Schizosaccharomyces pombe: one gene and its partners. The protein of the gene in region 4 binds, or shares a complex with, the protein of the main gene of each other region. Each region holds a gene or a part of one and is shown on either strand. Other genes may lie near its edges. A codon is read from its position in the direction of its gene.

The links.
Region 1: the proteins of arc4 (region 4) and arc1 are in contact, whole or in part, in a crystal structure (PDB 3DWL), measured with the Schizosaccharomyces pombe proteins. Residues at the interface, in NP_594116.1 of Schizosaccharomyces pombe: Ala21 (codon at 1,951), Leu22 (codon at 1,954), Glu23 (codon at 1,957), Glu24 (codon at 1,960), Phe25 (codon at 1,963), Ser26 (codon at 1,966), Ser27 (codon at 1,969), Glu28 (codon at 1,972), Ile29 (codon at 1,975), Val30 (codon at 1,978), Glu31 (codon at 1,981), Arg32 (codon at 1,984), Gln33 (codon at 1,987), Ser34 (codon at 1,990), Glu45 (codon at 2,023), Ile46 (codon at 2,026), Leu48 (codon at 2,032), Ser66 (codon at 2,086), Val67 (codon at 2,089), Tyr121 (codon at 2,562), Thr123 (codon at 2,568), Glu124 (codon at 2,571), Met126 (codon at 2,577), Leu127 (codon at 2,580), Lys128 (codon at 2,583), His129 (codon at 2,586); in NP_595909.1 of Schizosaccharomyces pombe: Pro13 (codon at 4,454), Ile57 (codon at 4,275), Gln75 (codon at 4,221), Arg77 (codon at 4,215), Arg101 (codon at 4,143), Ala102 (codon at 4,140), Gly120 (codon at 4,086), Ser147 (codon at 4,005), Thr148 (codon at 4,002), Leu150 (codon at 3,996), Ala166 (codon at 3,948), Trp207 (codon at 3,825), His225 (codon at 3,771), Tyr270 (codon at 3,636), Asn271 (codon at 3,633), Tyr272 (codon at 3,630), Ser338 (codon at 3,432), Leu339 (codon at 3,429), Gln344 (codon at 3,414), Asn345 (codon at 3,411), Thr368 (codon at 3,342), Asp369 (codon at 3,339).
Region 2: the proteins of arc4 (region 4) and arp2 are in contact, whole or in part, in a cryo-EM structure (PDB 6W18), measured with the Schizosaccharomyces pombe proteins. Residues at the interface, in NP_594116.1 of Schizosaccharomyces pombe: Glu31 (codon at 1,981), Arg32 (codon at 1,984), Gln33 (codon at 1,987), Pro36 (codon at 1,996), Glu39 (codon at 2,005), Val40 (codon at 2,008), Gly41 (codon at 2,011), Ala98 (codon at 2,312), Glu99 (codon at 2,315), Phe102 (codon at 2,324), Ile103 (codon at 2,327), Leu104 (codon at 2,330), Arg105 (codon at 2,333), Arg106 (codon at 2,336), Lys107 (codon at 2,339), Leu117 (codon at 2,550), Thr119 (codon at 2,556); in NP_001342919.1 of Schizosaccharomyces pombe: Tyr218 (codon at 3,626), Leu225 (codon at 3,605), Leu229 (codon at 3,593), Ser230 (codon at 3,590), Glu231 (codon at 3,587), Glu232 (codon at 3,584), Thr233 (codon at 3,581), Thr234 (codon at 3,578), Val235 (codon at 3,575), Met237 (codon at 3,569), Ala307 (codon at 3,359), Gly308 (codon at 3,356), Pro310 (codon at 3,350), Ser311 (codon at 3,347).
Region 3: the proteins of arc4 (region 4) and arc5 are in contact, whole or in part, in a crystal structure (PDB 3DWL), measured with the Schizosaccharomyces pombe proteins. Residues at the interface, in NP_594116.1 of Schizosaccharomyces pombe: Thr4 (codon at 1,900), Pro7 (codon at 1,909), Tyr8 (codon at 1,912), Asn10 (codon at 1,918), Ala11 (codon at 1,921), Ser14 (codon at 1,930), Thr15 (codon at 1,933), Ala18 (codon at 1,942), Ser19 (codon at 1,945), Leu48 (codon at 2,032), Lys49 (codon at 2,035), Leu51 (codon at 2,041), Val52 (codon at 2,044), Val53 (codon at 2,047), Ser54 (codon at 2,050), Arg55 (codon at 2,053), Gln60 (codon at 2,068), Ser65 (codon at 2,083); in NP_593727.1 of Schizosaccharomyces pombe: Asn109 (codon at 3,168), Tyr112 (codon at 3,159), Leu115 (codon at 3,150), Ala116 (codon at 3,147), Ser124 (codon at 3,123), Leu127 (codon at 3,114), His130 (codon at 3,105), Glu131 (codon at 3,102), Val134 (codon at 3,003), Ile139 (codon at 2,988), Ile142 (codon at 2,979), Val143 (codon at 2,976), Val145 (codon at 2,970), Leu146 (codon at 2,967), Asn147 (codon at 2,964), Ser148 (codon at 2,961).

What each region holds. Positions count from the first base shown.
Region 1 is NC_003423.3:2,210,725-2,218,927, reverse strand, and holds arc1 (ARP2/3 actin-organizing complex WD repeat subunit Sop2), read right to left. Parts: upstream 4,531-8,203; 5' UTR 4,491-4,530; coding exon 4,418-4,490; exon of another isoform or gene 4,371-4,417; coding exon 3,310-4,370; 3' UTR 3,111-3,309; downstream 1-3,110. Other genes in the region: protein tam10, read left to right, coding at 1-54, 102-388; cdc18 (MCM loader), read left to right, coding at 1,055-2,788; meu17 (glucan-alpha-1,4-glucosidase), read left to right, coding at 5,556-6,908; acetolactate synthase regulatory subunit Ilv6, read right to left, coding at 7,332-7,842, 7,923-8,116. UniProt on the Schizosaccharomyces pombe protein: Functions as a component of the Arp2/3 complex which is involved in regulation of actin polymerization and together with an activating nucleation-promoting factor (NPF) mediates the formation of branched actin networks.
Region 2 is NC_003424.3:4,778,684-4,787,381, reverse strand, and holds arp2 (ARP2/3 actin-organizing complex actin-related protein subunit Arp2), read right to left. Parts: upstream 4,361-8,698; 5' UTR 4,328-4,360; coding exon 4,280-4,327; intron 4,256-4,279; exon of another isoform or gene 4,230-4,255; coding exon 3,105-4,229; 3' UTR 2,617-3,104; downstream 1-2,616. Other genes in the region: Golgi 4,6-pyruvylated galactose (PvGal) residue biosynthesis protein Pvg5, read left to right, coding at 1,102-2,220; protein Fta6, read left to right, coding at 5,109-5,139, 5,187-5,335; pheromone p-factor receptor Mam2, read right to left, coding at 5,648-6,694; SPOM_SPAC11H11.03C (uncharacterized protein), read left to right, coding at 7,133-7,141, 7,197-7,359, 7,715-7,859, 7,898-8,201.
Region 3 is NC_003424.3:2,345,609-2,353,142, forward strand, and holds arc5 (ARP2/3 actin-organizing complex subunit Arc5), read right to left. Parts: upstream 3,717-7,534; 5' UTR 3,663-3,716; coding exon 3,517-3,662; exon of another isoform or gene 3,473-3,516; coding exon 3,400-3,472; exon of another isoform or gene 3,360-3,399; intron 3,274-3,359; coding exon 3,097-3,273; intron 3,007-3,096; coding exon 2,944-3,006; 3' UTR 2,844-2,943; coding exon of another isoform or gene 2,817-2,843; 3' UTR 2,715-2,816; downstream 1-2,714. Other genes in the region: urh2 (uridine ribohydrolase), read left to right, coding at 1-199; negative cofactor 2 complex subunit Bur6, read right to left, coding at 824-1,423; CENP-W family protein Wip1, read left to right, coding at 2,400-2,480, 2,601-2,714, 2,817-2,843; mediator complex subunit Med20, read left to right, coding at 4,719-4,732, 4,775-4,863, 4,933-5,411; ilv3 (dihydroxy-acid dehydratase), read right to left, coding at 5,763-7,534.
Region 4 is NC_003424.3:3,257,971-3,261,279, reverse strand, and holds arc4 (ARP2/3 actin-organizing complex subunit Arc4), read left to right. Parts: upstream 1-1,795; 5' UTR 1,796-1,835; coding exon 1,836-1,838; intron 1,839-1,892; exon of another isoform or gene 1,893-1,893; coding exon 1,894-2,096; exon of another isoform or gene 2,097-2,226; coding exon 2,227-2,350; exon of another isoform or gene 2,351-2,531; coding exon 2,532-2,708; 3' UTR 2,709-2,809; downstream 2,810-3,309. Other genes in the region: ubiquitin hydrolase Ubp6, read right to left, coding at 173-1,579; gamma tubulin complex linker, pericentrin/kendrin Pcp1, read left to right, coding at 3,115-3,309.

The DNA of each region.
Region 1 (8,203 bases), on a different chromosome or scaffold from region 4:
AAAGGGAAAGATCGAGTATAAAAAACACCAAAACTCTAGCGGAGGATCCTATGGGTATGTATATTAAGCATTAACAGTAAATGCTCGTTAACACTGAAAAGTAAAAAACGTAGCTGAAAATGATCATGATCAAATGAAAAACTCGTTAAGTAGGAGTCAGGATAAGGGAAACACTGACTACTGGCTTGCAGCGAGTTTGTCTGGTGGAAATCAACGAAAATCAAAATTTTTAAAAATGTTGGGTATAAAAAATGCTGCATCCATCACTGAATCGTCTCCGTCTGCTCAATCTAATAAAACAAATGACAAGCAGAGAGAGAAAGAACTAGAACAACAATATATGCACGGTGTTTTACACAAAGGAACAAAAAAGGGATTGGGCATGTAATTTGGGGTTTATGTTTAGTTTATTCTTTTGGATAATTACCAAAATTCTCATCTTCCTTTTGTTAAACTAGCTTAAAGTGTTCACTTGCATTCTAAACTAGAGGAAACTTTGCTATGAAATTCAATTTTAGTGAACATTGTAAGAGGTTTACTTTTCTTTAATCGAAATGCTGTTTGCTTTATTGGCCATTAGCACCAAAGATGGTATGGTCCATCAAAAATTCGTTCGTGGGACCTCTGTTATCTTTAGGGATAATTGAAAAAAGATTTTCTAATTTATTAAAAGAATTTAGGGTCTTTTACTTTAATTTTACTAACGTCGTAACTAAATTGGAATATGAGAAGGCATTTCATATCTTTGAGGATGAGTCGTTATAAAATAATATCATTACCTGAATATAAACTTATAGAGTAAAAAGGTTCGCGCGTAGAACGCGACACGACACGTAGAGTTGAACGCGACATCTCATTTACTCTTCGTGATTAATTAGATTTCGCGTTTACGTGTCGCGTCGCGTATATTTATAAAAGACATATCTGCTCTTAAACAAAACTTAAACACCAAGCACGAAGTTAATATTACTTAGTAGCCCTTTTATCAAATTTACCTGACTTGTCTATTGGTAAATAACATAATTAGTAAACGGGGTTACTATAAAGTATCGATATGTGTGAAACTCCAATAGGTTGTCATACACCTCGAAGATGCAATCGTTTTATAGATTCTGCAGCCTTGATTGACTGTACTAACAAAACTAATCAAAGGGAGCATTCACCTTCCTTTTCAATAGAGATTCCGACTACACCCAGCAGAAAACGTACGCTGGCTAGCTCACATTTCCAAACACCCACAAAAAGAATAAAATATGAACTAGGAGAACTGCAAGAGGAGAAAACTGACCTTTATCCTAATTTTCCTGCTCAGTTAAAGGAGAATAAGAAACCTAAATTACCCACAACACCTCAAACTCCTAAAACCCCCAAAAGGACCATTCAAATTGTTACACCCAAATCATTAAATCGTACATGTAATCCTGTTCCATTTGCTACTCGCCTTTTGCAATCGACACCTCACCGTCAACTTTTTCCTCCCACTCCTTCGACACCCTCCACTCCGTCCTATAATTCTACTGCCAAATTGAGTTTACGTAAATCATATCGTTCAGCAGGAGTCGTGGGTCGTGAAAATGAGAAGTCAATTGTGGAATCTTTCTTTCGTCAACATCTTGATGCTAATGCTGGAGGTGCATTGTACGTAAGTGGTGCCCCTGGCACAGGAAAGACCGTTCTGCTTCACAACGTGCTGGATCATGTAGTGAGCGATTATCCCAAAGTTAATGTTTGTTACATTAATTGTATGACTATTAATGAACCAAAAGCAATTTTTGAAAAAATTCACTCTAAAATTGTTAAAGAGGAAATTTTAGAAAATGAAGATCATCACATCAATTTCCAATGTGAACTAGAGTCGCATTTCACCCAGTCCGCCAATGAATTATATAACCCAGTCATTATTGTTTTAGATGAAATGGATCACTTGATTGCTCGCGAACAGCAGGTTCTGTACACGCTTTTTGAATGGCCCTCTCGACCGACTTCGAGATTAATTTTGGTAGGCATTGCAAATGCCTTAGACATGACAGATCGATTTCTCCCTCGTTTACGAACAAAGCATATTACTCCCAAATTACTCTCTTTTACGCCTTATACTGCTCAAGAAATCTCAACAATTATAAAAGCGCGTTTGAAAACCGCCGCTACCACATCAGAAAAAAACAATCCTTTTACTCCTATTAAATCAATCTCTGAAGTAAGCGATGATAGTATAAATGTTGTATCTCAGCATGCTGATGAAACACCTTTTATACATCCTGCTGCAATTGAATTATGTGCCCGGAAAGTTGCAGCTTCAAGTGGTGACTTGAGAAAAGCATTAGACATATGTAGGCATGCAATTGAACTTGCGGAAAGAGAATGGAAAGCTCAACATGACAACACATTATCTTCTGTTGATATACCAAGAGCATCAATTGCTCATGTTGTCCGAGCGACATCTGCTATGAGCCAATCTGCTAGTGCTCGTTTAAAAAACCTTGGTCTTCAACAGAAAGCCATCCTTTGTACGCTTGTTGTTTGTGAAAAAACCTCATTGAGTGTTGCCGATGTATTTGAAAAATACAGTTCTTTGTGTCTTCGAGATCGTTTGATTTATCCATTAACAAGTTCGGAATTTTGCGATGTCGCGAATTCTTTAGAAACTCTTGCAATCATTCGTTTGCGCACGAAGCAGCGTAACGGAAAGCCTCAGGACCGAATCATTAGTTTGCTTGTTCCAGAAATGGATGTCATTACAGCTGTTGGAGACATTGGTACCTTAAAACGATTTTTTGACAGAAGATAGTACTATCATTTCTTTCTCATTCTTTTTTTCTATTCATTATATTTTTATTTCACGCGTTACGGTTTTCAAATTTTGCCGAAAGGATCAAATTAGAACATCCTTTCAATTTCGTTGTTTGGATTACATAAATTTGAACAATATTATTTATCCAACTTGGTGTTTAAACTTTTCAGGTTGATCTTTACTAATTTTACTAACTATACAATTAATAAACACTTTAATCTAAGTTATATCTAATGATTATTCGTAAGAACGCATACCCGTGGTTCAGTCTCAAGTGGTGGTATAAGTAAACTTACGTAGCAAAAGCACTTCTCAATTTTGGGGTCTCTAAGAAAAAATATATACACAAAACTGAATATGATTGACAAAAATTTATAAGACGACATAGTAATCATATAAGCTGCGGAATAACAGTTACTATATCTAGCTAAAGCTTGTTCAATTCTTTTATTCTATGAGATTAACATCTACGGAAATTCGATAATTGATTTGATAAGATTCATTTGCCGATATCTTTTCTAAAGAGTCCACAAAACAACACGTCCGTCGGTACCGCTGGAGGTAAACGCAGTAATATTGCCAGGAGTCCCAGCGTAAGGTCGAAGGGTTGCAATCATATTTTGATGAACGGTTGGTAAAGACGAAATAGACTGGCTGGAGCCCTTCAAATCCATGTTACGGAATGTGCTACGAAGAGCAGTAAATGAAACAGGACCCTCTTCCTCTCTACCTTCACCAGTATTTCCTGTGTGAGTGAATGAGGTCTTGGAAGTTCCGGCATCCAAATCGCGAGTATGGGCCCAACCGGACTCATTGCCTTGCAAAAGAATAGGAGAATAGTTATAGCCAGCAGCCACAATGGCACTCTCATTCGCCCAAAGAAGAGAACGCAAAGGCAATTGAGATAATTTGACAGTAATTAGAGCTCGTGGGGGTTGCTCGGGAGCACTGGGATATGCAATCGTAACAGAAGAATCATGGCCAGCATACGCTAAGGCATTACCCGAAGGTGAAAATCCAACGGCGTGAACCCAACCACCAGATGGGTATTCAGCGCAAACAGTGTTGAAAGGTAAACGTGAACCCCAAACGCTGGCTTCTGGTTTGGCATCGACATCACGAACATAAGCAGATAAAACGTATGCCTTACGGTCTGCACAGCCGGCAGCTAATAAAACGTTATTAGGATGCCAGTCCAAAGACAAAATGGTACTACGAAGCGGACGTTTCAGATGTTTGCTGACCCACCAGTCATTTTCTTGTTCAAAGTAGCAAACAGAAATGACACGAGCACCACTACCAACAGCAAACTTGTCCTCGTTAGGCGACCAACGAACAAACGTAGCGGCACGATTCAAACGAAGTAAGACGAGGGTCTGCTTCCAAGTCCCATCAGGACGTTTCTCATAAACATAGGCATTACGGTCTTGAGAGCAAGTTACGATTCGATTGGATTTCGGAGCCCAATCGACACAAGTTACAATCTTATCGTGATCGCTAAATGTTCGGGCATGCTTCCACCCATTTCCATCTTGCTCGTAAAGTTCAACTTGGTTCGTAGCAGTTGTGGTGACAAACTCTATATCAAATTTGTTAAAATCTACTTATTTAGGTCCTATACTGTACCTGTTCTTTGACTATTGAACGCGTGTTCGTAAGAGGGTTTAGGAAGAATGTGTAAAACTTGAGAGGTAGCCATTTTTCAGTAACAGGACTAGCAGTCTACTGTTTTGCGGATGATAGACGATATCCAAGGCTGAATCGATATTGGTGATGACGAGAGCAGTAGATACATTAACAAAAAACGTTAGAGTACTTTATATACGATAACGCATATCGATGGTATCGGTAACTCCTTTGTTTACATTTTAAAGGTTTGTAAATATTACAACTCAATTAAGACTAAAAAAAATTCCATTAAATAAAATTTGATTTTCTTGCATATCTTTTAGAGATTTTTTATTTTTAAAATATGAGGTGGATACAAGATTTCTATTTGCGTTGATTGTGGAAGAACAATAGATCTTAATGTCTTGACAATCGTGAGTGAACGATGCTCTCTGAGTATTTTTCTTATTAATGAATAAATAATAGGGCGAAGAGCATAATACAATAATTCTCCTTTACAACAAAGAGATGTGTTTTAATGATTGCTGGAGTAACTGAAACGTTGCTTCAGAATTTGACAGCGACATCTTGTCCATTATCACAGTTATATTTTGTGCTTTTTAACGATGATTATTTAAAAAGATCACACTTGTTGCTTATACTCAGACTCAGTAGCGTATTTGATATTAAAAGCTGTGCTGTCGATTTTTTCCAATTCAACAAATTTTGTCGCTATTTAAGTAATTGGTGAATGCACACTTCCATATTATCATAGATCTGAATACTATAGAATCAAACTTTATAAGCAAGTGTTGAAAATAAACAAACAATAAATACATTTTCTTTGGTAATCCTTGCTTCGCCAAATTTTCAGTATAAGCCAAAAAGGATCAATCACATTCATTTACTCTGTTTATTTACTAACTTATATAGTCTAGTTTTGTCCATTCGTGTCGCAGCATGATGATCGATTTTGATGGTAATTCCCTCTGTTTTTGTTTACTAATAAACAAAGCAAAAGACATATATAGAGCAAATATTCCAGTTAAATTTTAACTAAAGCGCATATTTTTATTCGTTTGCCTATATAATTAAACACGATTGCCATCAATATTTGTATAGTCTACCCAATTTTACAATACTTTTAAATTCCAACATGCGTACATACTGGTTATTCTTACTCCTTGGGGGGGTCGTATCTGCAGAAAGCTTACTTTCCCCTAATAAAAGAAGCAAGGAAGCTTCTATGGATGAATGGACGGATCAGCAAAAGGGTATTGCTATGGGACATATGCTGAACAATATCGGTGACAGCGGTATGCATGCTAAGGATATTAATCCTGGATGTATTATTGCTTCCCCTTCAACTGATTCCCCTGATTACTATTATCAATGGGTTCGTGATAGTGCATTGACGATCATGACTATTTTAGATCGTTTCTTTGAAGGGGACAAAGGACTTGAGCCGATTATCGTCAAATATATGGATGAAATGGTCAGGCTCCAAAAGGTCCCGAACCCAAGTGGAGACTTTTACGCCGGAGGTCTTGGTGAGCCTAAATTTAATGTTGATGGGACAAGCTATGACGGAGATTGGGGACGTCCCCAGAATGATTCCCCTGCTCTTCGGGCTATTGCATTTATCAAATACATGAATTATTTATTTGAAAATGGTAAAGAGGTCCATGAAGTTACTGTCTGGATTGAGGCTGTATTAGCCGACTTGGATTATACTGCAAATCACTGGACAGAGGCAAGCTTTGATCTTTGGGAAGAAATTAAGGACGTTCATTACTTTACTCTAGCCGTTCAGAAGCGTGCCATGCAAGATGGTACAGCTTTTGCAAAGAGAATTGGAGCACCTGACCAAGCCGCACTCTACCAACGCACGATCGAGCCTATTGATCTAAAACTGGGAGAGTTCTGGGATCCTGGAATGGGTGTTATTAAGGGTTATAAAGGCAGAGTCGATCGCTCAGGACTTGATTGCTCCACTTTGCTTGCAAGCCTTTACTCAAATGAGTTTGATATGCACATCCTTCCAACCTTGTTGAAGTTGCAAGAAACCATGACCAGAGATTATCCCGTCAATCAGGGATGGAAGCAAGCAATGGGACGCTATCCCGAGGATGTATACGATGGTGTCTCTAAGTCTATTGGTAACCCTTGGTTCATTTGCACAAGCAGCGCTGCCGAGATTATCTACAAAGCAATCGCATACTACGATAATAAAGGTTTACCAGAATTGACTGAATATAACATCCATTTCTTTATGAAATTTGCTGAGTTTGGAGATCCATACAACTGGTCCGTTATCAGGAAAAACATGCACACATATGCTGATAACTTTTTAAAAGCTGTTGCTGAGTTCCAACATCCAAATGGTTCAATGTCTGAACAATTTTCGCGTGACGATGGTCACCAAAAAGGTGCAAGAGATTTGACATGGAGTTATTCATCCTTATTAAATGCCATCTACAGAAGAGAGGCAATCAAAGGCTCTGTCTAAAATATTTACGAAATCCAACGGTGTTAAGTTAGCCAGCTATCTTAACACCTTAAAATACCATCCATGCCAACAGTGTAATTACACTGAAATCAAGCTATTCAACAAGCTAATGACTTTTATAAAAAGGATGAAATCATAGTCTTTTTTAATAATAAAAAGTAATGCAAAACAATGTTATCGTTTATATGTTACCTACAGCTGTTTAAATAAAGACAACATAGCAACAAATTTCATCTAACCAAATAAATTTCGATGTATATTCGTAGATTCCTATACAAAAATCTCAAAAAAATAACTAAAATTTTTACGCAAAAAGTACAACCGCTCTTTGGATGTACAAAACACAAAGTGAATATATTTGTACAATGGGAAAAAATGCTTAAAGCATCAAAGTAGAAGCGAAGAATGCGATTTTTTTTTGGTTTATCCAGGAGGAAGGAAAACCTCTTCAACTTCAACATCGTCCTCAGCTTCTTCAGTAACTTCGTTAGAATGGGGTGCGCGAGTCATCGCAGATGTACCAGTACGGCATGCTTCCAAGACACCATAGGGACGCAACAAAGAAAGAAAGTTATCAACACGATCAGGAGTAGCAGTCAACTCAAGAATAATAGTCTCCGTAGAAATATCAGCTACACGACCATGAAAGAGAGTAGTAAGTTGATTGATAGCAGCCAATTGACTGGCACGAAGTTGTAAAGCAGCATTCGCATTCATGACACCCTCACCATCACTTTTAGCTTTAGCATTGGTAGACTCGGCAACTTTCTCACTTCTCTCAAAATGCTCTTGGAAGTGATCAGGGCCCAAAAGCGAAACTTTTGCAAGAAGAAGCTCACGCTCGACCATGCTGGTACCGGTGTAATCCAAGACTGCCCAAACAGATACGATATCTTCAATCTGACGTTTTGCCTGCTCAACGACTTCATCAGCTCTAAAAAAATGTTAATAAAAATTAGAAGGAAAGTAAAAAAGGTCAGTGACAATTATAATTGGATCAATTACTTTACATACCCTCGAAGAACAATCGTCATCCTAGAAAGATTCTCTACCTCAGTTGCGCAAACAACCAAGGAATCAATGTTAAATCCACGAGCGGCCAAAATACCAGAAAGACGGGATAAAACACCAGGCTCATTCTGTACTAAGCAATTGAAGACATGGCGTTTGGGTCTTTGCACACGGTTGAAGGGGGTTGACATTATAATCTAATAACCGTTAGTCAAGGTTTCATATGATTGTGACCAAAGTTAAAAGGACCCGATTTTGAAGGTAGCGGATAAACAGAATACAGA
Region 2 (8,698 bases), 1.5 Mb from region 4:
GTCGATTCATTAGTTTAAAAAGCGCGTCCTCGTGTTTAAACAAGATTGTCCTTTATTTTTCTCTCTCTCCCTTTTTCCGTCTTTGCGTGTCTCTCTTTCTATTTTTTTCGCTTCATTCTTTCTTTCTCTTGTGTACGCACGCGTTCAAATTTCTTTTTCTTTTTGTTCGTACCTTCTCACTTTCACTGTTTAATCTGCACCTCCTTTCTTCTTTCTCTTTGCATTTGCTTCCTAAATCTTTAAATATCAGATTGAAAAAGTCTCGTTACCACTCATTAAGCTCCTTTGCATCCTTGTTTTTCGTTACTTTAAGGTTAGATTGTGCGTTACTTCTCTTTCCAGCCTTAGTCCTTGATTGCCGCATACTTTGGTCATACCAGTGAATTCAAACTCATCCTCTGTACATCAACCCTCCCATATATTGTATAGAATATTGGGAAAAGATTTAACGGTCAAGGGAACTATAAAATTTGGTCAAGTCTTTTTTTAACTACTCATTTCGCATCTTCCAAGTATAAATGCTCTGAGCCCCACTCTTCAAATTTTCTTCCTAGCCTGTCGTGATTTCGTGAGACCGAAGTCCGATTAAAACTCAACAAAGTAAGGTATTTCTTATATATTTTCTCTACTGAAAATTCGTCTTTTTTCGTTAATCATCTTCTTAATTTAATTTTTTTTTTCTTCATTTGCCGTTGCTTTTTTTACTCCCACGGCTCATAATACAAATAAAAGGAAATCTTCTAACTTTCTAATTTCTCTCGTTTAATTTTTGTTTTGGTTAGACATTTGCTACTTTCATTCGTTCCTTCTTCTTCCTGCCCAGAGAAGTCATTGGTATCATCTTTACACTTTTATATGGTTTCCCCCTTTGACTCATTTTCTTATCCTCGTTTCCGTTTGTGTGTCGATTATTTGTATTGAAGGGTTTTAAAAAAATTTTTTCCTCTTTATTTAGTTTTCACACTGGTTCCAAAACTGTTATCACACTTGTTAAAATAGAATAGTGAGTATCGGTTCAAGAATACTTGGTTTTTTCTTCTTTTCTTTCTTTTAATTCATATTTGATTTTTCTTATTCTGTTTATGCTCACATCCAATTGATATGGGCCTTCCATTACGGATTTTTGCTGGTAATGGTATCGGCGGATGGTGTCTTCGACTATTCTTATTTGGAAGCCTCATTCTTCTACTTCGTCCTTTAATCTTCTATTCGAACACTACTATGAAAAAGCTGAAAACCGAATATCCTATTTATCATCGTCATTTGTCAGCTTTAAAACGTAATTTTTATTACACCATGGATGCTCAGTTAGGAGGTATTCGCAATGTTGTTTTGATCAACCGCCCATGCTTTGCCGCCTCTGATAATTTTCTTACTTTAATGGGCCAAAACTGGTACTTGAAAGAACGTAATATTAATGTCCTTTCTGATATATGTTTTCCCCTTTCTAATAATGCTCACGATTCTCTTCCAACTTTTAATAATGGCAGCGACTTATTTAATCCTTTGTACTTTGCAGTTTTGAATGCTGCCACTCCTGCAAGGTTCACATTTCATCTGTTTAATCATGTCATGGACTCTGTTGTTCCTTTTGACGAGGCTAAAAAGTTCAAAGTTCGTTCTTTCCCCATCAATTATGCTGAATATGCCGACGATGAATGTCAACTTGCACTCAAAAAGATTCGACCAATTCCGGATAAGTACCTTGTCTCCACTCGGGTATTATCGGATTCACGATATCTTGAGTTAAGTGGTGCAGTTGTCGCCTTTGCCCCTGATGCGTCTTCTTCTTTGCTATTTGAATTAGCAGATATTAAGCAGCATAAAAAAACTTCAGCTGATATACTGATATTTCTATCCAAAGATCACAATTTGCCTGTTTCATTTTATGATAATTATAAACTTAAATATACATTGCACTTTTGGCAGCCTCCATCTTTTCCCGATTCCTCTACTATCGACGATCAAGCCAAACTTTTATTTGACTACGTGGTGTCCCAAGTTGTGAAGTACCCATATTTTGTAACTGATATTTATCAGATACATTTACTTGGCGTTTATCTTAACTTGAAGCATGTTTATTTACTCGAAAACGATGACGTGGAAGATGCTTATTATGAACGACAGTGGATGCAGGCGTTCCAGCGGAAAAATGTTGTTGCTGTAGCTGAGGAACTTCAAACAGCTCTTCGAATAATTGAACAATGGAAGCAACTTTAAATTACTTCTTCTGGATTCTTCTCTTATTTACTCCAGTCGTTTCTCCTTTTTTATTCTTTGCTTTTGTTCTTTGTTTTTATATTTTCATTTTCATTACTGTTGTTCTATGTTGTTCATTTTTTATTCACATATTTTCGGTTTCACGTTGTTTTTCATCTGTCGGTTTCACGAGGCATTTTGTCTTCGTAAACTACACTTTTATATTTGTTCTTATTTATTTAAGGTTGTTTCAATGTTCCGTCGTTTTGTTTCCTAATGAATTCCTCTTACACCGTTATGAGAAATTTCAGTCGATTTGTGCGGCAATTTCTACTCCTCTTATGCTGTCGTGCTTAATTAAGAGCATTAATTTTTCTAGGCTGTCTTGGACACATTATTAATGGTTTATATATACAATTTAACAAAAAAATTAGGTCGGTAATTTATTTATTTACAATAATAGAAATTCCTGCTTTTAAATGTTACTCATGTTTTCCGTGGATGTCAATCTTCAGAAAACTAGAAGCTCAGAATGTCAAGCTATTTTTGTTAAAACTAGGACCTAATAAGAAAACGCCCTAAATGGGCGAAACCAAATATATACGTCACGGGAGTCTAGTCATTAAGTCTGTTGCTATTGAAGTGTACTAGTGCATATTGAGTAAATAAGATCGTTGGTTACAAAAAGGTTGTATAAACATCAAGCATAAGTAAATAGCCCATCAAAAGAAAAAGGAATCAAAAAGGCAAATAAAAGAAGGAATCGTACCGTCTTTTAACGATGGTCGGATTAAACAGAAAACGTAATCATTTAGCAAAGTTTGAAATTTATGAATCAAACTTCGTATAACTCAATTTACTAGCACATAAAAAGAAAGAAACAGAACATTAAACATAAATATACTCTAAGTAGTTCTAGGACCCAATTTGTCTAGTGCACGTACTCCATACTCCTCCCATTCTGCCTTGGACACCCACATGTGATCGTTTTGAGCCATGATATCTGCCAATACGGCGCCGCCGATAAACACGGCATGACGGCGACGAGGAGCGTCTTCAATCTTAACCTTAAAGTTAGGCAAACGTGCGGGATCTCCATGAAGAACACGCTCAAACCATAACTGTTTTATTTCCTTTTCAAGACGTGAAGGAAGACCGGCATACATACTGCTACCACCTGAGAGAACAATGGCGCGATACAAATACTTGCGAATGTCCACATCAGCTGCTTGGATAGTGTCAAAAATAAATTCACTCAAACCTGGTTGTTCACTACCAACCAGATGAGGTTGAAATAGACATTCTGGACATTCATAACGCTCAGAACCAACTTTAATAACTCTTCCATCAGGAAGGGTGTAATTACGCATTAAAACGGTAGTTTCTTCGCTAAGCTTATGGTCCAATTCCAAATCATAACTAACGTAACAAAGTTTTTCTTTCATCTCGCGAACAGTTTCAAAGTCTGCTGTACGATTGAAAGCATAACCCTTACGAAGAAGTAAGCTAATCAAATAGCGGGTAGCATCCCTACCGGCAACGTCAAGGCGACCAACTAAATGATTTAAAACAACACTTTCATAGACAGGCACAATATGGGTTACACCGTCACCAGAATCAACAACTACACCACTGCTTAATCCCTGTGCGTATAAAGAGAGAACGGCCTGAATGGCGACATAAACACCACCAAAACCATACCGTTCAAACATTGTCTCACACATTTTTTCGCGGTTAGCAACAGGATTCATAGGGGGCTCGGTCAACAAAATTTTCCTACCCCTCGGATCAATTTTTAGTTTTTCAAAGAAAGTGTAATCCCAAAGTTGATTCATCTCTTCAAAATCACGGATAATGCCATTTTCCATGGGATATTTTACTTGAAGTAAAGATCTCACCGCCTCAGCTTCATCACCGACCATAACATCTTTAATTTGAACATTTCCTGTTTTCTCTTCAGCACGTAAAATGGGCCTTCCTACGATGGATGGGAATTGAAAGCGCGGAAAATTGTCTTTAGCATATCCGACCTTGCTAACGTTAGTCACAGTGTAAACAAAGATTTAATTAAACTGATTACCTTCACAAAACCAGTTCCATTATCTAGAACAATGGGAGCAGACTCCATTTTATAAACGTCTCGTGTAGTTGGTGAAAGGTTAGTTCTTAAGTCCACCCCTATGTAATGTACCGGCGGTAACTATCTGCCATATACCGTATGACACAGCAGCACTGCAACTGTAGCAGAGCATTCGGTGATATATCGTAAATATGTAATATCGTAGGAAAGCGAAGTGCAGTAATCTTGAGAATTATAAAACAGAAATGAAGTATCTAAATTAATTTAACAATTGGCTGCAAAAAGAATAGCTCAAAGGTTTTTACGGTTAATGATCTTATCTTCTATTGTACTTAGCATTAGTATCGTTACCCCTTATACTCAAAGCCATAACTGTGCATTTATAATTGTTCGGCAGTAATGTATATTATCGCTTATTAGTTAAAAGATTCTTCGTTTCACATAGTATTACTATTATTTAAAAGAAAAACACGGACTCTATTTGTTTGTTTAATGTGCAGGTAACACTTCGATCGTTTATTATGAGATTGGTATGACTAGGAGCGCTGTGCAAAAATGAAGAATCGCGGAACCGATTTAATAAAGAATTTATTTCTCTAGTAACTAGATGTGTGCATTAAATTGAATACAAGACTTAAACAAAAGAATTATAATTATCGACATATACCATTATTGAATATTTGTCATCTGTTTACTGAAATAAGTGGAGCAATGCAATTTGAGAATAACACATATCGGTTTAAAGATCCTTATTATATTGCTATTACTAAATTAAGGAGTGTAACGTTTCGCAGCTAAAACATTTCGATACAATATTTGATAAAAATAAATGGAGGATAAATACATTTTATTGTCAGCAGGTTGGTTATAATTTTTATTTAATAGCTCAATACTTACGTGTATATAGTGGAAACGTTTAAATCACGTCTGGAAGAACTGCTAATGCAATCGGCCAAAGTACAAAAGCAAACGATGCTTAGAAAGGAATTAGCTTCTTCGATGAATGATATGGCTTCTACGGTACAAGAAGCTTTAAATAAAAAAAAAAGTTCGTAAGGTAAGCACTTGGAGACTCAAAACATTATAGTTCATTATAGATTACGAAGGCAGTTCATTCACTATTGTTTTAATAAGTGTTTGTGAAGTACGACTTGAAGTTTTCATGATAATAAGTTATTATAATCATATAATTTCATTGATGTTTATAGTAAACAATTGTTCATGAAGCGAAAAAAAAAAAACCATTAGAAAACTTCCCTCTGAGCAAATTATGATTACAAGCCTATCGTAAAAAAACCGTCTATGTTATTTGGGACTGTTATTGAGCCAGTATTAGGAATTATCAAAAAAGATACATTCAGGCGTAAGTTACGTCCACTTTTTAGTTTCAGATTCATCAGAAATCGAATAATCGTCACTGGGAGTATGTTTGATATCAAACGTTCTATCAACTCTAATCGAAACCTCGGTGGTTTCTCCTTGCGCAGATGAAGTTTTCATGCTTTGCAATTTCAGAGCTGTACTAGACGCCCATAAACTCGAAAGAGGAAGAGAAATGATTAGCAGACATTGAGTCATAGAGCTAAAGCCATCATACGTATGGATAAAACTATCTATTATAGTAAAGGTAGCTGGAACAATAAGACATTGGCAGCTAATAACTAAAATACACTGCATCGGACCAAATGGAAATTGCCCAATTTTTTTCCGTATTAATATGGCACGAAAGAGTTTGTATGAAAAAACACCACTGTGAAAAATAATGCTAAAAGCAAAAAGTATTTTAGCAATAAAGTAGGGCCAAGAGTATCCAACAATGGTCTTGCTGCTAAGTGGAGTTAACCATAACAGATACTGAATCTGTTGACACATGTTAGTAATCCAAAATGCGAGAACCAAAACAGTTAAGCAGGCACTAATAACAGTCATTATCCTTTGTGTCTTTCTATCATGTGCACAAATTATACGAACTTGAATCATCATGCTCATCTCAGCAGTAAAAATGATGACCGGTGCAAGCAACAAAATTAAAATATTAAACACATGGACATACATATGAACCATGTTTAAGATAAACCCGTAATTAACCAGGATACTGTAGCTATTGCTGCATATGGTCACTATATTCAAAATGGCCCGAAGACACATTGCAACAATACTTGCCGAATTAAAAACAAAAACTGGGTGTTTTCGTTTTTCGGATGATGACAATAGACAAACCATCAAAATGGTAAGGACTCCTAAAGCAAGTTGGGCAGACAAAGTCATTCCAGTTAAAAGTCTATCTCTTTCATATGCATCAATTGTTGAAACTGGCACTTCAATCTCTCCTACAATAGAGACAATGGTAATATTTTGGTGAATAATTGCGGATGCATCGGGAATAGTAAAGTCTTTCCACCATGGTTGTCTCATAATGTCAGAGGGAGCAAGAACAATATAAACCCGAGATTTTTTTAGTTTAAGAAGTTTAAAAATGTGATTTGTAAAGCACTTGATGACTCAGTTTCCCAATGAACTGTTATGCCAATAATTCCTCTTTGTTTAGAATTTCCAGAAAACACTTCTATGTCTCAAAAGTTAAATTTTCGCTTGAAGATATACAGCAAATTTCCAAATATATGGACTCAAAACACACCAATGGAATGCTGTTCGAACAATTGCAAAATTGTAGTTTAAACAGATTCGAAACAAAAAACAAAAGGATTTACTATTGTTTAGACAGTTCTTAAAAATTATTTTTCATCTTTGTCAGAGATCTAGCTGAATTATATAACATTTTTTGTGGTACTCCATTGTTCAGATTTCCTATTGTTAACTTCATTGTCTAGTACCACACCTGAAACAATAGAAATGGAGGAGGTAATTATTAATCAAAGAGATAAGGAGAAATTAGGTGTAACTAACTTTATTGAAGTATGAAAAGTTTAGAGCGTTGGCGTCAAAAGAGGCTGAAAAACGAGGGTATTTATTTCAAGAAGCTCAGCATGCCTATTCAGCAGGAAACAAGGCTAAAGCGCATGAACTAAGCCAAGAAGGAAAGTTATGTGGAGAGCGTATGGAAAATTATAATCGACAAGGTAATCTCAAATTCTCATTAAAAGCTGTGATTGTTAGTTCAAACCCTATAAACTTTCAATAATAGAAAAACAAACCCATCATGAGATTTTTCTTTCTTTCTTTTCCACTCTTTTTGTTTGGTATCTAATTCCGGTAGTTATCGGTCAGACAATACGCCAAACAATAGTAGTTATGACAATGAACTATTCTTTGTACAAAGTGAAGAGCTCTGAAACAGCTGAATAAAGCCATGTGATTTAAGAGAAAAATGGGTTGGCTTCTTTATAGAACTTAAAACACTGGGTTTCTTCAAACCCATATTGGCTTCGAGAAAACAAAATAGAAGTGTTTTATGACTGTGCTAATTATTGATAGCGGCTTCAGCCATTTATTTATATAAAAACTCTCAATGCAATCCCGATGAAATTGATTTACATGGTCTGTACATCGATGAAGCTGTACAAGCAGTACAACAGCGAATTGAGAATTGCATCCGACGTGGTGACAATCATTTACATATGTATGTTTTACGCTTAATTAAAATTAACTCTTTTTTAGTATAGTTGGGCGCGGTAATCACAGTGCTAATCATGTGGAAAAACTACGACCTGCAATTGTGCGAATGCTTGAGCAGCAATCTATAAAATACAACAGTGAAGTAAATGAAGGCCGCATTTATGTTTATTTACCATCTGCGACTTCACCTATTCAACCAAATTTCAATTGCATTCAAGAACCTCAAGAAGCATATTCTCGTCCTCAACATTCAACTTTGACTGATCAAGTTGAGCCTGAAAAAATTGTTGAAGAAATTGCTACGAATTGTTTTCCTCGTCTAAAAACATGTTGTGCCATCATGTAACAGTTTGTTTTTTGCTTGTTAACACAGGCGACCATGGATACCAAATTGGGTCAACAAAATTTTAGGCGGTGAAATTATTAGCCAGGTGTCTGTGTATTAATCTTTTATTTCGATTCGGTCATTATTGTATTTATTGGGTAATTTAGGCTCTAGATTTTTTTGCTTGTTGCAACCTTAGGATTTTTTTTTTATTTCAAATAAATATTGAAACTTTTTTTAATAGATTATTTTATAGGAATATTTTTTTAATAGGTTTTCTCTGCTTTTTGTAAAAAATTCATTTTTATTATTATTTTAAAGATAATAAATCTAGCATTATATTGCCTACTAAAAGTTTTGTATAATTTAATTTATTTAAATTTTGTTTATTGTTGTTCATTAATTTTAACAACTGATTATATCAATTTCATTAAACGGTTACATAAATTTGAAAATTGTTTACACATAATAATAATAATAAATTTAGGTTCGATAAAATTTCGTAAACAATGACTAGT
Region 3 (7,534 bases), 910 kb from region 4:
GCTGTGGCCATCTCTGTGGACCTCGCGTTCTATGTATGTGACTGTAAGCTTAGATTCTCTCACTCTTGGTCGCACTGTCTGTGATGTATGGTCGCAACAAAATCAGTATCCGGCTAATGTTCATGTTGTTTTGGAAGCTGATGTTTCATTATTTTGGGAGACGTTTATTGGAGTTATAGACAGGCTCAATTATTTGTAGTATATTTATGACATTATCGACTAGTGTTTTATGTTTATTTTTTACAACGATCAAGTTCTCCCTTCATTTTCAATTTTGAAAGCACTTCAAGCATTCATCATGCCCTCTTATATCATCCATTGGAAATACAAAACCAAATACTTTCTTTTTTACTCAAAGAAGTACGTTTATACTTTTGCATTGCATATAGTTTTATAAAATCTTAGACTATAAAAATATCATTATTTGAATTTAAATACTAACAACAAAGTATGTATAAATAAATGCTTAATTATAAACAAAAGGGTGTACGAGTAAGTGATAGGTTCGTAGAATTGTCAATAGCATCATTTTGGCAAATAAAATCAGTAGACGCCAAGTTGGTCTTTCATAGTACATTAATAAGGCACTTTAAAAAAGCTCAATATGAACAACCAGAACGTATTATATTCTTAAGTCGAAGAAAAGGCTTAAAAATACTAGAATTAATGTGCCAATTTTATAGTCCTATGTACAAGTAGCTTGAGAATATTTTCTGAAAACAAATTCAAGAAAAAAGGGAAGATAAGAATAAATGTAATAGCAAAACAAGAATAAAGTATACAAAGACATTATATTTATGGTCATATAGGGTGGAGAAAGTAGCTACTCATCACCAGACGCGGAAGAGGCTTCACTAGTTGTCTTGTCAGAAAAATTACCATGATCAACAGAGGCTTTCTCCTCGTGATCTGCTTCAGTTTCCTCACCAGTAGGTTCTTCTTTGACAGGAGTTTCTGTGGTAGCTGATTCGTCATCTTTTTCAATTTCCTCTTCTTTAACAGTATTCTTTTTAACTTTTTTAGCGGGAACACTTTCATTATGCTCACCTTCATTAGCTGCTCGACGAGCACGGGGGCGTTTTGTCTTTCTTTCGGCTTTAATGGGCGGAGCATCCGGTACTTTTTCAACAATGTCTTGAAGAAAATCAAACTGTTCAACACTTTGAACAGCATGCTTTAAATGAGAAACGGTAACACGCTTTGCTTGGTGCAATCGCGTCTGTTTGCACGATTCTTGAATTATACTCTGCATGAACAATTCCAACGCTTTCGACATAATAACCGGAGTAACTTGAGCGACCTTTCCAACGTCCTGGTCTGCTTGCATAATCTTTTTTATACGAGCAACAGGAAATCTGCTTTTCCAGTACGTAGCAGGATTTGGTTTAGTTTCACTATCATTATTATTTGTTGGATCACCCATTATAAGAAGCAGAATTAACAAGATAATTCGATATTAAAGTCAATAGTAAGTTGGCGTGTAAATGATTGTTTCGGAAATGAATCGCTTGAAGGAGCTGGTAAGTAAGGTAGTAACGAAAACGTATATTACTACCTCTATTGAGACTGTCTGTCAAGTTTTTAAAAAAATTTTTTTTCTAATTTGTCGAATTTGAGAAGTTAAAGTAAAAATCTTCTAGTGCCTAACAGCGGATCTTAGTATTCTTTATAACAAGGTAGTGGTGAAGGACTCGTTTAAAAGCAGAATTTTATGTAGGTCGCGGAAAGCAATAATTCGGAATCACAAGCGACTAACTTCCAGGAAATATAGCAAAGAAACTCGGTAAATATTAATTTGGTTTTCTTTTAGTCGCCATACTTGCCAAGTATTTTGCTCAATATTCCAAATGAAGGCAATTTAGAGGTTCATAATATGCATACAATCACAGTTTAAATAAGAATAAAATAACAGATTCAGATATACGTGTGTAATCAGAGCAAGCAAAACAAACCAGCAACCAAATTTTTAAATACTAGTAAAAAGTTTTTCTTTTCTTAAAGTAGTAGCGAGTAAATACATGCTTACAAATGAACTCAAAGTATTTAAAAGCTTTCATGCTTAAGATTGCTGCTAATTGATATAATATTCCAACTTGTTTTGACAACAAAGACACATAATTTGCAATGTCAGTGCTTTAATCTTTGTACGTAATAATTACTTTTACTAAGAAAATTTCAATTAATAATATGACATTAAATTTATAAAAAATTGATTTGCAATAGCACCTTTGTAGAATCCTTCGAACTAATGACTCAAAAGGACTCGCACTTTACCTTCTTCGAAGACGACACAACGATTATCACTTTCTATACAGAGCTATCCTTGCAAGATATGATTACTCTCTAATTTTACAAAACTAAACGGGATTAATATTTTTTTTTGCAAGAAACTACTTACTATGAGCTATCCTAAAGCACGCATAAGACGATTTTTTCGTCAGCATTGCCAGCGCAGCCTTGAAAGTTCCGCATTGGATTTGGTATGGAAAGTTATAAATGAAACTAGCTATTTCTCAGTCAGTATCTTTTTGGACGCGCTATTCTAATAAAGATATTCAAATTTTTTATATTGAATGTTTTCAACTAACAGAATTTTCAAGGTATATTTGGATTACTGTCTTTTCTTACAATCCTTACTAAAAGAAGCCAATATTGAAGCGGCTAAGACTGGGGAAAGAAGAGTACAGCCAGAACATGTTCGAAGTATTCAAAGAGTAAGCTAATATTGAATAAACTAGATTTATTATCTTTTCAGCAAAGGCGTAAATCGATTGCACTTTATTTTTTAAAATGGAACATACTTACTAACCATTTAGAAAATTCTAGCTCAATTTAAAGGATAAAAAGAGTCATTATGTGGGAAAGAAGACATAAAACAGAATCATTGATTCAGTTCCATAAGCGACAGAATAGTAGATACCAAAAAGTAAGATAAAGCCATATTTATAGATCGGGTCTACTATTGAGAACACGAACTATACATCCTATACCGGATATTTCCACCACCTACAAAACCGTATTAGTGACCGAATAAAAATGTAAAGCATGAGATAAGCAATGCTAGAGCGTTGGGAAAAGCAATAAACTAAAAGTTACCTTTTCGTGCCAATTAAGTAATACAGACGAGTTGTAGGCTTGAGGATTCGCCAATCCACGATAAATGAAGTTTACAATATTATCAATTTCCTCCGTTGAACATTCTTTTACAAATGCGGGAATGTCAGCAGCTCGTATATTGCTTAATACATCAACAAAAGCATTCAAATATTGAGTCTAAAAAAGTTAAAATTCATTTACACCATAATAAAATGAAATCAAGAAGAATTGTAAATTTAATCAATAAATAAAAACGTAATTGATATAAACCGTCTTTAAGCAGTTTGTACAGTTTGCACATACCCTAACTTCTTGAACATCATTTCCATAAGGAACATATGAGAGTAAGGTTTTCAAACCTTGTAAGGCATTTCCTCTATTTTAATTAATAAAAAAATTGCTTCTTTTAAATAAACATACGTTTGAATGGCAGACCGGGCTTGAGGAATGAGTTGAGAGACGGCTGCTTGGACTTGCTCCGCCGTTTCGTTACGAATTGGAAATATATCTTGCTCTGTTAAAACAGGTTCTGTGATGGAGTCGACATCCAAAGTCCGAAACGTCATTTTATAACTCTATAACTGGTAAGGTAAAGAAAACGATGGAACAGGTTAAGTTTCAGCTGTGTGTAGCTCTAAAGAGGCATCATACAACGGTCGAACGCAAGTCTGTAACTGAAGTTATTATAATTCATAGAGTATATTAATTTAACCAATAAGTTAAGAAAATTCAAAAAAATATATTTATATTTTTTTAATCTTATAACTTTAACTTATAATTTTTGAGCGGAGCTATATAAGTCTGGTAACAGCATTACTAACTTCTTCAGTACTCCATAGACCTCTTTTGTGGATGTTTATTTTTTTTTATTTGTAAATAATCATCTCTACCTTTGGTCTTAGATGTAAAGTTCTGAATAACTTGTAGACAGAAATTGGTTACATATTTTACATTTCTGCCTATGGTGATTCAGAAGAAAATATGTTAGATACAGCCTAGTAATTAGTTGAATAAAGATTAAAAGTAATTTTTTTTTTGCTTCTATCTATTTTCAGTATGTATATTGATGTATGAGTTTATACTTCTATTCGAACAATAACTTTTAAGACTTATTTTGCTGACAGAACTATGTAGTTTCTTGTGTAAAGTTCAAAGTAAAACGAAGAGACACATATGTAACATCCTGGGATTAACAGATTTTTAATTAGTGCTCAAACCAGCCAGTTACATTGTTACGTAGTATTTGACTCTCCAGAAGTTAATTATGAATGTAATTCAGTTAACTTAATTCTCTTCAAGCTTTTAACAATTTGCTCTGGGATTATCATACCCAAAAGCCATATACTTTGCGACTTGGAAAATAATAAAAATGACAAGAGATAAATTAATAAAATTTGAGCTCATATTATGTCTATCTGCTTTTTTTTTTTAATACAGGAACAATGAAAATGAAGGTTTTAAATTAGCCTGTTAGCAATTCTTGCAACCGCCGTACGCATTAAACTCTTCACATCAACATTACAGTAGAAGTAAAAGAACTAATTCGGCCATTTTTCTCAATAATTCGGTATAAACCGATATTCAGATGCATAATTAATTACCATTCATCTTTGTTATAAAATATGCCTGTTCACGGGTAAAAAGCATACCGATTGACTATTTTGCTGATTGATTATAGAGTTATTTATTATTCATCGCCTTCAATGGCGACGTTCCTTTCTCCAGCACAGGATAATCTGGTTAGGACCTACTTTGCACAACATTTAAGTAAGCTGACACTGGTTTGGATTTTATTTCTTATGATTGATGATTTCAAGATCTAACTTTGAATTTCAGAAAAATGGGTAGTTCAGTATAAACTTTACAGAAATGCTGTCACTCCAAAAACTTTAGAATTTTTGAAGCAAAACATTAATCCCAGCATGCTGGCGTGTGTGGATGAAGCGACAATGATTGATGCAGAACCTGAACTTGAGGACATCATTGTGCGAACGAAATTATGGAATTTTCGGCAGTCCTTTACTATTGAAGGTTCAATATATGAAGTAGGGAGCTTTAAAGTGGCTATTGCCAACGTTTTACAAAAGTCCGTTTGGAAGGGTATACTTTTTCATGTAACTTACGATGGTACTGAGTCCGTCGATCTCGCACGCCCTATTATTCAAGAATTCTTTCTTAAATGCTTTTTACAAAATAATAAATCGGTAACCCCTGTCTATGAAAGCTTCTTTAACCAGCCTCGTCATTCTTTGGATTCAAAACTTCTACTACAGTTGTTTAAACAACGCATTGATACCGTTTCACAACGCACATAGAATAAAAAAGTATCAATTTAAATTTTTTCTGTAAATAAATTTCTATCTAACTAACTGTCAAAGTCTTGCTTTATTGTCAGCAGAAAGTTATGGCTCCCTTTCACATTTACAGATACCAATTATGTTTAATAATAAAATAGAAATGCAGGAGTTTGAATAACAACCCATTTTAAACTCGATGCATTTCACTGTACTCCAAAAAGTAATTATTCATTCAAAATTATTCAAATAAACTCTAGATGAGATTATGGAATCAGCATTAAAAGCTTATTAATCAACCTTTACTACCAAAACATTAAACGTCTAAGTTTCCAAAATACTATGCGCGCTTATAAAAGCATTGAATATGCTTTACTCTAAGGAATCTGTAACAGCACCCTTGGAGGCAGTGCTAACGTTGCGAGCATATTTTAAAAGGGTTCCTTGTTGGTACTTCAAAGGAGGTGCCTTCCAAACACTGCGGCGTCTCGCCATCTCCTTCTCATCAACCATCAAATCTAAAGTGTTCTTTACAGCATTGATTTCAATGACATCGCCGTCCTGAACAAGAGCAATAGGGCCTCCAACTTGTGCTTCGGGATCAACGTGTCCAATCAAAAATCCGTGAGAGCCACCACTGAAACGACCGTCAGTCAAAAGTGCAACATCCTTTCCAAGACCAGCTCCCATAATAGCACTTGAAGGCTTTAACATTTCCGGCATACCAGGTCCACCTTTTGGTCCCTCAAAACGAATAATGACGACAGTCTTCTCGCCCTTCTTGAACTCACCACGCTCTAAGGCAGCAATAAAATCGTTTTCGGCATCAAAAACACGAGCTTTGCCGGTGAAGTTCAAGCCCTCTTTGCCAGTAATCTTTGCGACAGAACCTTCAGGGGCTAAAGAACCACGGAGGACACGTAAATGACCCTCGGTCTTGATGGGGTTGCTCAAAGGTCTAATGATCTTTTGACCTTCGGCAAGGTCCTTGAATCCTCGTAGGTTCTCAGCGAGAGTTTTACCAGTAACGGTAATATTAGAACCATCGATGAGACCTTCAGCATGGAGATATTTAAGTACTGAAGGAATACCTCCGATAGCGAACAAATCTTCCATAACGTACTTCCCGCTAGGCTTCATATCGGCAATAAACGGTGTACGGTTACTGACGGCTTGGAAATCATCCAAAGTTAAAGTGATACCAACAGACTTAGCAATTGCGATCAAATGAAGAACAGAGTTGGTAGAGCCACCAAGAGTCATCGTCAAGACCATAGCATTTTCAAAAGCAGAACGTGTCATGATGTCGCGAGGTTTAATGTCGTCAACCAAAAGTCGCTTTATAGCACTACCTGCAGCTTCGCATTCTGCAAACTTCTCAGGTGAGCCAGCAAGGTAAGAAGAAGAACCGGGTAATGTCATACCCATAGCTTCGGCACAGCTAGCCATTGTATTTGCAGTATACATACCACCACAAGCACCACCTCCAGGACATGCATGACGAATAATGTCATGACGGGTTGGCTCATCAATTTTTCCTGTGATAAATTCACCATAGGATTGAAAAGCAGAAACAATATCGATGGGTGCATTGTTCTGACAAGGAGAGTGACCAGCACGAATACTACCGCCGTAAACCATAATACTAGGGCGGTTGAATCTTCCCATAGCGATTAAACAACCAGGCATGTTTTTGTCACAGCCAGGAATAGAGACGTTGGCATCATACCATTGACCTTGCATGACGGTCTCAATGGAGTCTGCAATAATCTCACGAGATTGCAAACTATAACGCATACCAGTAGTACCCATAGAAATACCATCACTAACACCAATAGTATTAAACTGGAATCCGGTCAATCCAGCCTTTTTGACACCTTCTTTCACTCGTCGACCGAGATCAAGTAAATGCATATTGCAAGGATTTCCTTCATACCAACAACTAGCAATGCCGACTTGGGGTTTTTTCATGTCCTCCTCATTAAGTCCAGTAGCATATAACATAGCTTGGGAAGCACCCTGAGACTTCGGACCAGTGATTGTTTCACTATACTTGTTCAATTTCTTCTCGACTAAATTGATCGAAGAGGTTTTAAAGCCTTTTAGGCTTAATGCAGCTCTTTTGCTAGCAATACCGTTTTGAC
Region 4 (3,309 bases):
ACTGTTTACTGGAATAATATTTTGAGCGTTTTTATCTTACATAAATCATGACCCAGCCCTTCTATTAAAACGTGAGAGTAAACAATGCCACTTTGATATGATACGTTCTAGTTCTTTTCCCATAATAAACAGTCAAAAGAAGGTTTTAAAAAAAAATAAAGAAATCGTAAGCTCATGCAATGTCTTTTGCCTTATAAAGAAGGATGTAGGCACTGTCAGCTTCACCACCACCATCGAGAGTTTCAATTTTTTCAGCAGGAACGATAGATACCTTTGCGTCATTGAACCTGAACCATTCAGCACGATTATTGCTATTTCTTATCCAAGCTTGGTAATGGCCTGAAGATGCACTAGCACCGGCGTGTGATAAAACCCCGACTAAATCATAAAGGCCGGTGGGGTTGGCTCCTTCATCATCAGCGAGCTCAGGATCTACTAGTGATTGACACGTCGCAACCTGAGTAAGCCTGCACTCAGCTTCCGCCTCCTTCTCGTCCTCTGAAGGTTGAATTTTGATACGCTTAGCAGCTCGCTCATGTTCTTCATCATTTTTTTCAATTTCACGTAATTTGTCACGTACGGGAATCAATTTTTGTGAAAGTTCAGGAGTACAAAACTCGACTGCATCGAGCTCAAATGGAAACTTAACCTTACGAAGAATTTTAGCCTTTTTCCCTATTGATGCTTTCCAGTAAAATCGAACAAAATTAACAGTTAAATAATTGGGTAGTCGAGAAATCCTTGAGATTTTGCTATACATGGCATCACGATTTAATACATCACTATGCTTAGAAATTTTTTGCGTAAGCCCTTCAAGGATCCCCTGGGTCATATAGCTTGTATGCATAGAGATATGGCAAGGTAAACTCAAAAACGTATCATGTGAAATAGAGGGTTGCTCCTGTACTTCGTTTTCATCACATTTCATAGTAGATAAAAGTTTTCCAGCCATATTTTTTTGTACCCACTCAGATGATAGGGAGCGCTGTAAAACTGATAGCAAGAATGACCAGCATTCCTCAGCATCCTGTTGAGCATAACCCCCAGTTTCTCTACTCATTTCTGCAAACTGTGGATACTCCATGCGTAGACTTTGAAGAAACCTCATTGGTGTAACCGGAGCATTAGATTGCATAGAATTTAATAACGTCCGATATTCTGCCACCAAACCCCCAGAGGAATTGAATTGTGAGACAGCGTCTGATAATTCTGGAATGGCACGCAGCATTTGAACTGTAGAATTCATGTAACACGTGTTGCCTAAGTTTATAAGCCCTGACGGATAGCCATCATCTTCAGATTCCTCTTGTTCTACTGACTCGACAGCTGGAATGGGCATAGCTGTTGGTAGTTCGCCTGCAGTACCCATCATTAATAAAGTTGCATTTGGTTTAATACCAACTGAACCAAGCAAAACATCGTCTTTAAGCTGGCCACCTTTGACAATCACTTTCTGTCGTTCCGGAGGAACTTGTGTCAACGAGTATAGTTGATGTTTCAAGGTGCTTCCTGTTTCATTAGGTTCAATCTCTAAGTCGTACTTCTTCCCTTGCCAACGAATTGCTATGGGAATCATCATAAATGGTTTTTGTAATTAATGAAAGAAATACTTGTTTAAGCCCAATATAATTTTTTTTGTAATTCTTTGCAAATTATACTTATTATATATGTTGCTGGTACTTGGTGAAGGCCATACAGTAACGAGCTATATACTCATTTTCGGTAACACCACGCAGCGTGCGTGGTTGTGCCGCTAAACTCGTTAAGCAATATCACACTGACACTACGTGTTAGCACAAAACCAAACCCGGAGACTGACTCCATAGATTCTAATTATGGTAAGAGAGGAATTCTTTTGTTATAAAAAGATATGATTTATTAACGAAGGCATAGTCTAATACCTTAAGACCTTATTTAAACGCAGTTCGTTCTACTCTGACTGCTTCTTTAGCATTAGAGGAATTCTCATCAGAAATTGTAGAACGCCAGAGTCAGCCGGAAGTTGAGGTTGGACGGTCTCCTGAAATTCTACTAAAGCCCCTGGTGGTCTCTCGTAATGAGCAAGAACAGTGTTTGATTGAGAGCTCTGTTAATAGGTATGTCTTAGGCATCCGATGTTTCCGATTCGAACTGGTACATTCACTGATCTTTCGATTTGGAATAACGGAGTTTTGAAAGTCATTCTCATTATTTGGATTTTTTTTACTGATGCATTTATGAAATTAGTGTTCGTTTCAGCATTCGTATTAAACAAGTCGATGAAATTGAACGAATTCTTGTGCGCAAATTTATGCAGTTTTTAATGGGTCGTGCAGAATCTTTCTTTATTTTGCGCCGCAAACCTGTTCAGGTACGTTATTACAAATTGTAATTGGCAAAAAAGTGTTCAAGGGAAGAATTTCTAGAGATTTTGCGTTAGTTTAAGTGTTCACTGTTCTGCCTCAGCCATTGTATAGTTCTTCTTTTTTTTCTTTTTCGAAGTTGCCATTGCTATTTGTAAATATCATCAAACTAACCTTTCTTTGTTATAGGGCTATGATATTTCCTTTCTTATAACTAATTACCATACTGAGGAAATGCTTAAGCACAAATTAGTTGATTTCATTATTGAGTTTATGGAGGAAGTTGACGCTGAAATTAGTGAGATGAAACTTTTCTTGAACGGAAGAGCTCGTCTTGTTGCTGAAACTTATCTGAGTTGTTTTTAGATTCATGTTTACGTTTTGGACCCTATCGATGATTTTATCAATTTATACATAAATAAATGAGCACCAAATACTTCTTCCGAATAAAATTCCTATCTCTTCTATTCTGTATTGAGTACAATAAACATATCAAGGCAGTTTTACATTCGATAATCCTTCATATCTACAATCTCGCCTTTTGACTTTTAGCATCCTTACAAGATATAACGAAAGTATACGATATGTTGTTACTTATATTAGGGAGCTGTTTCGTAGTTTATTTGATCATTTGACGACTGTAAACAAACTACAATCAACAACATTTTTGCTTTTTAATGATTCTGCCAGAATAAGTAGTTTCTATATAATTTTATGCACTTGCGCTAGTTGGTGGATAATTTTAATAAATACATGCATCCGCAGTTACGTTATGTCTGAACGAGATTTTAATACGCAATCTCCCAAATTTAAAGATGAAAACGCGAATTCTGTGATCAGCCAATCTGATTTTTTGGGGAAATCACTCAAAAATAATAACGATGATTATTCTGATTTCCGTGGTTCGTACCTTAATGATAAATCATCTTTCCAGACGCCTTTGCGCAACGGCTCTTATCAACCAAAA